Linked DNA regions of Caenorhabditis elegans. The protein of the gene in region 2 interacts with the protein of the main gene of each other region in a pairwise test. Each region holds a gene or a part of one and is shown on either strand. Other genes may lie near its edges.

Region 1 (3,110 bases), on a different chromosome or scaffold from region 2:
ACACAAATGCAACGTGCCCTCCAAAATGGTGAATATATGAATAATTAATTAATTATCTCTACTTTTTAATAGGTTACGATGTCTCGTACTATGTGATTGTATGAGGGAAGAATTCCCTTCTAAAACCAGTTCTGTATCCAGTATGGATGTTCCCGAGAACATCATTGCGCCTGTTTCTCTTCTGAAGTCGTCATTACATAAGGTAAACCACCATGATTTGAACATTAATTGATATATTTTAGACTGCGTTTCTTGTTCGTGACACTCTGCAAGAAATGTCTCGCATTAATGAAAATCAGTTGCTCTGGCTCAAAATTCTGGATAAAACTGATCTAATGTGTCTTATTCTGTTTCAAGTTGCCAATGTTGTAATAACAATTGTATATTGGAAATAAAAATCAAAAATAACTTTCAATAAATTTATATTTACCCGTTTAAAAAATTTGATCAATTCATAGGGATAGATAGTCCTAGTGGCAAAAATTGGGTACTTGTTTGACAGTAAATTAAAAAATATTTAAAACGTCTCTAAAGCACCCTCAAAACAAATGATCGGTTTTAGTGAAGAATAATTTATATTAACAACTTTCCTGCGCGAGAACATGGAATGTTTGGACTTTTTTAGAGTATTGTTTTCTGCGGGGTTGACAAATTTTCAAGAGTCCCTAGGCCTTCTACAGTGCCGGCCATAATTCTATCCAATTTTAGTTTTTTGACAATAACTTGTTTCAAAGTGATTCGTTTGAGTTGAAAATTCACTATAATATGAAAATGATCAAAACATAACTATTACTGCAAGAATTATAAAAAAAGCAAAATTTAAAAAAATTTCGGGGAATTTTCAAAAATTCGAAAAAGTGAAAATTATCTAAATTCTGAAAATAGGTTCTTTGTGAACTGGATCGGTTTTATCTGTCTACGAAACTGTCATTAAACTAGTAAATGAATCTTTGTGAATTTATTTTTGGCAATTAAAACTTAGGTGTCACGTGACAACAGACCATAAGCTTACCTGCAACTTGCAAGTGCTTGAAAATGGAAGAGTCTTTCTATTTTCAGTCATTGTGGCTATGAAATCAGTCTCATTCATTTTTAAATTAGGTTTTCTACATTGTTCAAGACTATTCTATTGATTTTGTATAATGTTTCTATCTATCTCGCTGGATATAAGCATCGCAGAGACACTCAGTGCTTACCAAGTATGTCAATTTTTGTCTTTGCCGCCTTGGTAAAGCTACCCTAACCCCCTTTTTTTCTAATGTGTGCAAAAAGTCAAGCAGTCAGAGTGAGGGATGGTAAAGCTATCGCACCTGCAGCAAACTAACTTCAAAATAAATTATGGTTTTATAAATTAGGGTAAATTAGGTTTTGGTTTTCTCAAATGTTTTTTTTCCGCAAACGTTATTGGATTTGGCCTATATATATTCTCCAGGCCAACTAGAAAGCATTCAGCTGGCTAAAAACACGCGGTTATCGGTATATTCATAATTGAACAAGGCTTCCCTCAAGTGACTAAAAAAGCTTGTTTAATTACATGAAACGGATGAACTAGAAATTCTTTAATTTCTTTTTCGATGACCGTGATGTTTTACTTTATTTCAAAAATAATTCCAAAAAACATCCAGAAACTTTTTTATAAAGGTTGTTTTTTCTCCGCTTCAACCTCGACCTTTCTTTATCTCCACGGTCAATCTGCCCTAGATCCGTCCGTATAAAAGATCGGAAAATGTGTAATTCAAATCAGTCTCTGCTCGAATCACCGATTCTCTACTCACTCGACTACTTCTCTGCAATGGATCAAATCCCACCGTACGAGTTCAATAAGTACGTGCTCTACGCTCGTGGTGCCGTCATCGTGTGTGCTTCATTTGAGGTTCGTTCTGTGCCGTTCGTGGTCCTCGGAGGACTGGTCCTGGTTTTTAAGGGCTGGCCTCTAAAGACTTGTCCTGGCTCTTGGTCTTTTGCCCGTTTTCCAGAATGTATAGAACATCATGAAATATTTGCAGCTCCTGATGGTTCTGTTCGGTTCCCTCGGCGATTGCAATTTCCTTGCCAAGCTATTCTACTTCATCTTCCTCGGTGGAGCAGTTGCCGTCTCATCGCACAACATTGCTCTCAACATTGATGGTCGCGAGGAGATCAACAAGGTTCTTACCTCGTCTGACAATGAAGTTCGTGGAAAGTCTGCCGCATTGGTTCTTGTCCCAGCTCTTGCTGGTATCTTCGTCTTCTTGTGTGTTTCTGGGCATGCATTCTTCTCACTTTTCGTGCTCATCCACGTGCTCGCCGCTGTTGGACAACTCGGAATTGAAGCTTATGAGTTCAAGAAGGGACAATCTGGAGCTCCAGCACAAGACCCAGCCGCCACTGCACCACCAGCCCAGGATCCAGTTGCAGCTCCACCAGCACAGTAGAAAGAATACTTGGGGGTTTTTGAAATAAAAGTTTTTACTTGCTCTTTTTGATCAGGAATGTAATCTGCAAATTCTGCTAGACTCGGTCGCCAAAAAACCTGGAAAAACTAAGTGCTCTTTTCTACTGTAGTTTCAGAAGAGTGAGCATCTTGTTGTAAGAGTAATATTTTGTTGTGGTTAGTCCGAAGAGAGGCTTCTGTGATTACTTAAAAACTATCGTAACTATCAACTTTTTGAGCAAATACTGGGTTATTGGAGTACTTTAGTATGATTGCTGTTCGTTTCGCTGGGTTATTTCAAGGATTCTCGCAAACTGGAATAATTCAAACACTTTCTAAATGCTCAATAATCTTTATTATTAGTTCCAACTCCAACAAGAGAAACATTCATTTTCTTCCCCATCCAAGTGGAGTCGGTGGACGATAGATGGTATGTCTTGCATTTGCAGATGGGATGAAATTGAATGAACTTGGCTGAGGAGCTCTTCTAGCTGGGTTGAACAGTGATGGTAGAATTTGATTAGTTGGAATGAATTGCTGTAAAGTATTATACGTTTCTTTTGCTTGAAAGTTTGAAATCAGCCTACCGCGGAAACCGAGAAAATGGCGAAAGCAAGGAAGATGCAGGCGGTGAACAGTTGCATTATGAGATGCGCTTTTTGGACTTCACCGAAAAATGGTAAATTTATATGAAAAC
Region 2 (4,452 bases):
GTTGAGCAGAATGGATCTGTTGAGAATCAATCAGGAGATGCTTTGGAAAACGAGACAGATTCTACATCAAGGGGACAGAAAAGAAAGCATTGTCCTGAAATGGAGGACGAGGAAGAGGTAAGAAACTTGAAAATAATTTATTCCAATAATATTTATTTCAGGAATCAGATTCTGATAATGAGGATGACGATACCCCTATGTCGTACAAAGCACTTTTGTCAGATTCACGCAAAAAAGGTCGAATTGTTCCAGAAAACGAGGATGATGCAGTATTTGATGTTGATGATGAGGTAAAAAGGGCGGCAAGTATAAAAAATTGAAAATAAAACGGAAAGTTTTGAATTTATAGTGGCTAAAATTAATAGTAGTGAATTTTTTGAAAAAAGTTAAATTTTGGCTTCTTGAGCTTAAAAATATCAATCCAAATCGTTCCAGTGTCTAGAATTTATCGAAAAATACGACATTTTATCGATATTAAACAAAAATTCAAAGAAACACGTGAATCATTATTCCTGCTTGGGAGATCAAAAGTGTTTTGAAAAAAAAAGACTTTTACAGAAAGGCCACGCACCAGCTAATATAGATGAAGAAGAAGATGACGAAGACAATGAAGATGAGGAAGTACCGGAATCTGATGATGACGATGAGTTCGAGGATATGGCTGCATTGATCGAACGTCAGATTAGCGATGCAGTAGATGAAAAAGATCAATGAGTTTTCTGTGAAATCATCATGTGCTATTATTGTTTTCATTTCCTATTATTCTTTCAGTTGTTTCCCATCTTTTACATCTCATAATTATCACCCCCGTTCCCCATTTGATTCGATACTCAATGTTTTCTGTACTATTTACCTCCATTTAAATGGGAATAATCTGACAATTAATGTCGGCTGCTTGATCAGAGTGATTTTCATCAAATCAATCAAAACTTCACTAGAAGCCTGCATTTTTGTCATATATAAACGTTCACGGTTTGGAATATAGATTGCTTTTTATTCACTTATCTTTTGCCTTTTGATTGTAAATTCAAGAAAAGTCTGTCACTATGGAGTTATTCATCTTTCGATTGCTTACTTAAATACCTCTATTTTCATTTTATCGAATTAATTTTTTTTTCTAAATCGCGTCATTGTCTCATTTCTTCTCTCGTTTCACGTTGATCGTTATTATTTTTTTCTGAAAATGAATGAGATTCATTTCTATTTTTCTTGCTGACGCTTTCGCAATGCCGTTTGATTCGGAAGTATGATTTATTTTTTTCGAATTATAGGATTAATGTATAGTATTTGTTACGCGAGACCAAAAAAAGTTTCATGTAACAAATGTAGTACAATGTTTACATTTCCACAAAAATCAATAATTTACAATTTGTATACAATTCAATGTGGTCTTATATTACACAATCAATCGTTTCAACAACACGTTTTGCCGAACTGGATTTTTATCGATCTTTTACTATTTCCTTATTATTAAAAGTTATTAAAAGCTATATATTCGCAAAAAGTTTTGAAAAAAATTGGTAGAGTGATTAGCTATTGAAAAAACTTATTTCATTTCCTTTTAGTGACTAGTTTATTTACCATTGCAGTGAAAGTTTATGAAAAAAGTATTTACTTTTCTCTTTTGAAAAGAAATATTTTCTCGCATTTTTTGTCTATAGAGCATTTTTGCACACACGCGCACTAAGCGCCTTTTTTGTATGTATTTTCAGCGGTTTTTATCGATTTACTCATTGTCAAGAATCTTTTCAGTTTGAAGCCTATCTCAAAGCCAGAATGGATTTCAATCGAGATGCCGGCAATGAGACAGCCAGTCAGCTTCAACTCAATATTCAGAATTTAAATCAACAAGGTTTGCACGAAATTTTTTATTAAAAAAAACACGTTGTACACTAAATTTCGTTTCAGTTATTCAATTGGAATCCTTTATCACAAATCTATCAGATAGCAGTGAATCAGGACAAAGAGAACGGGAGCTTTTCAATCGCGTTAGTTATTACTCTCTATTAATTAATATTACATTAAAATATTTCAGAAAGCTCATAATGCTCAGGAACTCTCGAAGGAAACCAATGCCCTGCTGAAAAGATTAGTTGTGATGAGCAACTCTGATGTGAGTTTCAGTATAAATTTTTATATTAAACTTTGGTGAAGGCAAAATTTTTCAATGAATTTATATTTTAAAAAAATTATCCTAAGGTTTTAAAATTTTATAACATTCAAAAATAAATCATAAAATCACACGATTTTTGTTAAATAAAAAAAACTTAAAAAAATAATTTGAAATAATCTTATTATCAAAATATATAAACTGGCATGTGTAAAGTGGCTTATTTTTTATTTTGTTTTTTATTCAAGCTCCTCCCATTCCTGACCTTTCGTTAAAGTTTGTATTTATTAGTTCATTTTAAAAAAATGGGAGGAGCTTAAATAAAAAACAAAATAAAAAATAAGCCACGTTTCACATGACAGTTTATATATTTTGATAATAAGTGGCCTATTCAAGTAGTATCGGAAAATTAAAAAGTGTAGAAAATGACGTCACAACTATATTAAAATACATGTTTTTGTATGTATTTGATTACAGTTGTGGCGCCATTTGTCTACAATTTTCCGACTCTACTTGAATAACCTCATAAATCAATTTTTAAATCCGAAATTTAAATTTTCTGAAAATTGATTTCAAACTCATTTTGTATTGATATTCATATGAAAATAGGAAATACACGTTTGGGAGAGATGTCTTTGAAGGAATATTTTATTATAGTATTATCAACAACATTAAAATATTTCAGAAGAACTTACGAGGAGTCCGAGAGCGTCTTCAAAATGAGTATATCGGAGTGCTCAACCGCCTTCAAGCATCTCAACGAAAAGCTGCACAAACTGAAAAAGCTGGAATGGTTGCAGCAGAAATGGATGCTCAAGCGGCACGTGATGCTGCCGAATACGATATGTACGGAAATAATGGACGAAGTGGTGGACAGATGCAGATGACGGCACAGCAACAAGGAAATTTGCAAGATATGAAAGAACGACAAAATGCATTACAACAATTGGAACGAGATATTGGAGATGTTAATGCGGTAGGCTTTATTCAATTGAAGTTATAATGACCAATTTAAAAATTATTATTTTTTAATTTCTATTAATTTCATTAAAAGCGGTTAGAGGATGTGCCATACGAAAAATAACTCTTCAAGATTAAGTAACATTAATTAATTTTCAGATTTTCGCCGAACTCGCGAATATCGTACACGAACAAGGAGATATGGTGGATTCGATTGAGGCAAATGTGGAGCATGCACAGATTTACGTTGAACAGGTAAAAATTCGGAGAATCACAGAATTGTTCGAGAATGAAGCGATGAAAACGAAAATCTGCAAAAAAAACTTTAATTTATCTAAAAATATACACGTTTAGGTACTTTCAAAGTTGAAAAATAGTGGGTATTCCATTTTAATAAAAAATAAATTAAGGGTGCTCAAAATGTGCAACAAGCCGTCTACTACAATCAGAAAGCCCGTCAAAAGAAGCTTCTCCTTCTCTGTTTCTTTGTTATTCTTATCTTTATCATTGGATTAACCCTCTACCTGGCTAAGTAATAGGAGTGTCTCTGTTCTGTGAATATGCTTCCTGTCCTATATTTATTTGAAAAACATACTGAGAATCGAGCTTTTATTATAAGTCATGTGTTTGTATACAGTCTAACCTAAGTCTAAAATATGTTCAACTCCTCAATTGTACTAACTTCCCTCTCGTTGCTTTTTTTCGAATTTTTCTCAATAAAATGTATTGATTGAATATGACGTACTGCTTTGACGTTCTTTTCAGAGAAGAAGAATGATCGGGATCATTTGACCGATGAAATGATGATCGACCGGGAAAAAATGAAATAAAAAACTTATGCAAATCCGATCAGTGTGGCAAACACGGGTTCGGCTCTAAACACGTTTTTTCTCCTTTTCGGAAAAAACAGTGATTTCATTTTTTCAGCCAAACCTAACGGCCGATTGACGCACTTGTGAAATTCTGAATTCGCACTACCGCCGCTGCTGTATAAAACGAAAAGTTTTACGCAAATCTTCTCTTTTCTTTTACTCTCCAACTTACTGCAGAACATAGACCTTTAAAATGGCTGAAAGTATTATTGATTTTGTGCTCGTTGCTATTATTTTAGCCGCCTTAGCGGTAGCTACACTTATTTTATTGTTTATGGTGAGTTTTATGATATAATAAGTATAAAAAGCCAAGATTAATAAATACTTCGTTTTCTGAAAGTTGAATGCTAAAAAAGGCCGGGAAAGGGCTATTTGAAAACAGTGAAGCAGTGAGATGTGAGAGCTACAGTACTCCTTAAAGGCGCACATTCCTTTTCGAAGCTTTCATTTAAACATTTTCAATCGTGTCACCACAACCAGGTACAACCAGGTAACCAGGTACCGCAAAAA
Region 3 (4,014 bases), on a different chromosome or scaffold from region 2:
CTAACACCCGAAGACAACACATTGTTCATTCCGCATCTCTTACTGCTTTAACGTAAATAAAACTTTTGAATGTTAAAACAGATCATTTTTAGTTGTTGTAGGCCTTTTAATTTTAGTCCAGTCTTTACAAAAGGGAGGACAGCCTATTGCTCTAAACTATGTAATATGTTTCTTCCGTTTAATACATGAATTTTTTCAAATACGAGGTGTCCCTCAAAAACAACTTCTGGGTAGAGTAAAACTGACACAATATTTGTTATCAAATGTTATTACAGTGGGAGTACCAATTATGAGTTTTCCCCCATGAAAACGTTTTGAAAGATTTGTGAGAAGTTTGATTACGAAATTCGTTAATTTTAGCACACTTTGAGCAACATATACGTTCAAATTTACGTTCGAAATACCAAGAACCATTACTCTTCCACTGTAAAATCGAACACCTCTGTAGTGTCCCGAATAAAAACAAGAGCTCCAGTTTTTGCATGTGCTCTTGTTTTGCTTTGTGCTCGCTATCAGTCATAAGGCATCATACCATGTAGTTTCTAGTTGTGTGATATAGGCCCACGGAAAGTTTGTTTTTGTGCATACAACTTATTATTGTGTAATGAAAACTACGAACCAATTTATTGTAACTTCACAACAGATCGTATTCGGTGCACAACTCGGAAATGAAACGAGAGATTCTCTGCATACAAATGTATAAACAAAACGTTTTGTTCAGATAATTGGGAAGAGATAGTGAGAAAAAAGGAAACTATCAATAAATAAAAAAGAAGAAAAAAAATCAGATCCAAACTAGTTGGTCGTGGTCAAATTGCATAGGAAGATAAAACGCTTAAGTGAGAGGAGGGGGGAGAGTAAAGCAGATGAGGAAAGATGTATGAGAAATAAATACTTGAAAACATAAATATATAGTGAAAATGGACAGACAAAGTGAAAATTACTGGATGGGTTGAGGGCGGGAAGAAATGACTTTTAGGAATTTATGGAATGTTGGATTGGTTGACCTGTGGGCTCCACGCCGGATCTCCAGCGGCCATCATATTACTGCGGTCCGCCTTTTTGCCCAACGCCATGAATCCGTAAATAACACCCGAGGCGAAGATGGTTCCACTACCAAGGATAGTGTTGAGCTCGATGCACAGGAAGATTGGAATGAGTCCCATGCTGAAAATTGGTATTGTTACAAGGAAGTCAAGAAAGTATTAAACATTGTTGTTTGTGCCCCGCTACACGCCAAGAGAGTATGCTAATTTGTCTTCTAAGCCGACGCGATGTGCACTTGAAAAATGTGCCTCTTGTCACAAGACATCAAAATTTAAGGTTCTTCGGAATATTTTACTACATATTCTTTCATTATGGTCTAGGTCTATGAAATTTGAGAAGAGAAATCATGCGAATAATTTTTCAATTAATACTATCTTAATACTAATCTTATCAAATAGTTTTTTGAAAAAATCATAATTTGAATGACCTAGTAGAACTGTTCTCTCTATCTATCAAAAAAAAAGAGCTGTCACTCACGCTCCGTAGATAGCAGCCTTGTGCCAGAGAGCACGCGATTCGCTGAAACGGGCAATCTTCTCGATGAAGTCGACGAATTGGCAGCAGAATGGGGCCTCCAGCGCAATGACTAATGCTCCAGCTGTCCTGAAAAAATTACAGTTAAAAGGTTTACAGTTGATTCAGTTGTTTTTTCCTTACATTTGAAGAAGAATGGCCACCATGCATGTCGCCGAGAGAGTGATCAGGCCGAGGACTCCGAAGAATAGGGAGAGGAAACCTCCGAGGATGGCGACTCCTTTTGCCAGGAAGCGAACCCACCTGCAACGAATTATGAAATCATTTCTCGTTTTTTTTTCTTGGGAAATAATAGGCTGACTCACCATGGAAACGCGGCATTCGGATCGTGTTCCGCTTGCATTTGCGTGCTAACTCCAGACGCGGCAGCCCCCATGTCGACAGAGAACAATTACCTGCAACGTGAAAATGTGCTTATTGATTTTTCAATAGTAACTTTGAGAAAACCGTTGAGAATTGCTATTTTCACGCGATAAGCTTTGGATTTTTAATCAATAATAAGTTTCCCTTCTTGGACTAATCATATGATAACTGAAAAGGAAGTGAAACAGAAGCGGGAGCAAGAAAAGATAAATGAAATCAGAGAGGAGGTGGCAAAGTGCGGGCTCACCCGCTCTTGCATGCGGCCGAAATGACACGGAGAGCGGGAGACGCGCAGAAAACCAACGCAGCAATGAACCGTTAAACAGCACGCGGGCCGGAATAACGGACTCTCGTTGCATCTTTCATGTGATTAATTGTTTTCCCCAGTGACTTTGGCTGTTTTAATTGTTCCTTATTGAATACTTCGAGTTTTATTTTTTAATTTTCACATGAATTTATGGTTTTCAGTAATGAATTACAAAAACTTTTGGTTTAATATTGATTTTTACAGAGTCAAACAATGGGAGAAACGGGACCAACCAATAATACAAGTTTCAGTTCGCTTGATGATAATTGGTAAGTTATTTTCGTTACAGGTTGAGCATATTTTATGGAAATTCTTACAGGGAAACTGATGTTAATGTGCTGAGCAGTGAGCTCGGTGATTTGGACACTGAAGGAAATGATAAATCAGATTGGATGGTGAGTTTTTATTTTTTATTTTTTTCCCTGATTTTTGATAATTTGAACATTTTCAGCGCCTACTCGGAGTCTCGATGAAACCAAATCCATTGGATGACTGGGATCAGCTGTACAATTTGAATAATCAGTGCGCATTGCGAAATGATTGCCGGAAACTTGCCAACGGTTTGAAGAACAAGAGAAGTGTTCCCGAGTTGGAGTCATTTTTGACACTTTATTGCAAAAAGAGGGGGATGGATTATATCAAGGATATCGGATGGTTGACGGTGAGTTTCTTTTTTTCAAATTGCAAGAAGCAATCATTTTATAGAAGTTAAAATTATATTTCCAGATCCTCGAAAAGATCCTTCTTCTCAATGTTCCTGCCGCCCACGAGTTCAATGTTTTCTTTGCATTCACCACGAAATATATTCCTAAAGACACCCGACCAGATGCTCAGATTTTTGATTTATTCCGATTGCTATTACAGTACCATGATCCTCAGATTAGGTTGGATGATCGTAAAATCAAGCTACATAGCGAGAACTTCAAAAAAAAAAAATTAGCAAATCCCTAGGTTTTTCTTTTTAGTGATAAAATATATGCTTAAAAATGACAGGTTGCTGAGCAGAAACTTTTTGCGCGGAGCCCCCCTGAGGGTTTCATGCTTGAAACATGTATTATATGGAAACGGTTGTGCAAATTATTTAGTGAAAGCAAATTCAAACGGCTCAGGTTTTAGATTTTATAAATATAAGAAAATATTTTTAGTAACCATTTGGAATCACTTCACTGCTCGCCTTCAATGTACACGAAAAACTGGTTCGCAACTTTATTCTCCAGCAGTATGTCCACAGAATCGTGCCATGAACTTTGGAAGTTATATATTGAGCAGGTAGGAACTGTCCATAAAGTTTCTGAAACAAAAAAAAATTTTCAGGGTGATCCATTCCTTGTGTTCCATCTTGCCATTGTCTTCCTCATCAATGCAAAAGATGAAATTCTGCAAGTGAAACGAGATGAAAAGTTTGTCTAGCGTCATGTTTCGAAAAAATAACTCAACTATTTACAGAGAAAAAGCTGTGCAAATTTTGGAGAACATGGCTGCCCAGCTCAGTGTCGAAGATGTCCCTGACTTTTTCCAGTTGGCACTTCATTACTCTGACAAGACTCCAGAATGTATTCGCAAAGATTTTCACTACATAATTTTCGGTGCAAATTTTGATGAGGAAGTCAAAGAGATTCAAATGAATAAGATGTTGTGTCTGCCGATTCCAGCAATCGATTTAACATCTCATGATGAGGTAAATACCCCGAGTTATAAAAAAAAAGATTGTCAGGTACACTGCCTGGTGACGATCCTACTGGGCCATAATTTAAGCCATGTCC

Evidence for each region.
Region 1: the proteins of syx-7 (region 2) and F17E9.5 interact in a two-hybrid assay, tested with the Caenorhabditis elegans proteins (one large-scale study listed by BioGRID).
Region 3: the proteins of syx-7 (region 2) and flwr-1 interact in a two-hybrid assay, tested with the Caenorhabditis elegans proteins (one large-scale study listed by BioGRID).

What each region holds. Positions count from the first base shown.
Region 1 is NC_003282.8:8,344,091-8,347,200, forward strand, and holds F17E9.5 (DUF7087 domain-containing protein), read left to right. Parts: upstream 1-1,727; 5' UTR 1,728-1,792; coding exon 1,793-1,873; intron 1,874-2,006; coding exon 2,007-2,414; 3' UTR 2,415-2,456; downstream 2,457-3,110. Other genes in the region: lgc-5 (Neurotransmitter-gated ion-channel ligand-binding domain-containing protein), read left to right, coding at 1-28, 73-202, 243-395; F17E9.18 (Neuropeptide-Like Protein), read right to left, coding at 2,801-2,950, 3,001-3,057.
Region 2 is NC_003279.8:9,001,264-9,005,715, reverse strand, and holds syx-7 (t-SNARE coiled-coil homology domain-containing protein), read left to right. Parts: upstream 1-1,752; 5' UTR 1,753-1,776; coding exon 1,777-1,852; intron 1,853-1,908; coding exon 1,909-1,988; intron 1,989-2,035; coding exon 2,036-2,113; intron 2,114-2,795; coding exon 2,796-3,086; intron 3,087-3,229; coding exon 3,230-3,325; intron 3,326-3,480; coding exon 3,481-3,606; 3' UTR 3,607-3,805; downstream 3,806-4,452. Other genes in the region: fcp-1 (RNA polymerase II subunit A C-terminal domain phosphatase), read left to right, coding at 1-117, 162-290, 559-714; F36F2.7 (uncharacterized protein), read left to right, coding at 4,136-4,219.
Region 3 is NC_003284.9:14,968,296-14,972,309, forward strand, and holds flwr-1 (Calcium channel flower), read right to left. Parts: upstream 1,977-4,014; 5' UTR 1,958-1,976; coding exon 1,887-1,957; intron 1,825-1,886; coding exon 1,705-1,824; intron 1,651-1,704; coding exon 1,525-1,650; intron 1,168-1,524; coding exon 984-1,167; 3' UTR 605-983; downstream 1-604. Other genes in the region: tbc-1 (TBC1 domain family member 23), read left to right, coding at 2,465-2,520, 2,571-2,646, 2,703-2,912, 2,978-3,135, 3,397-3,520, 3,566-3,651, 3,698-3,929.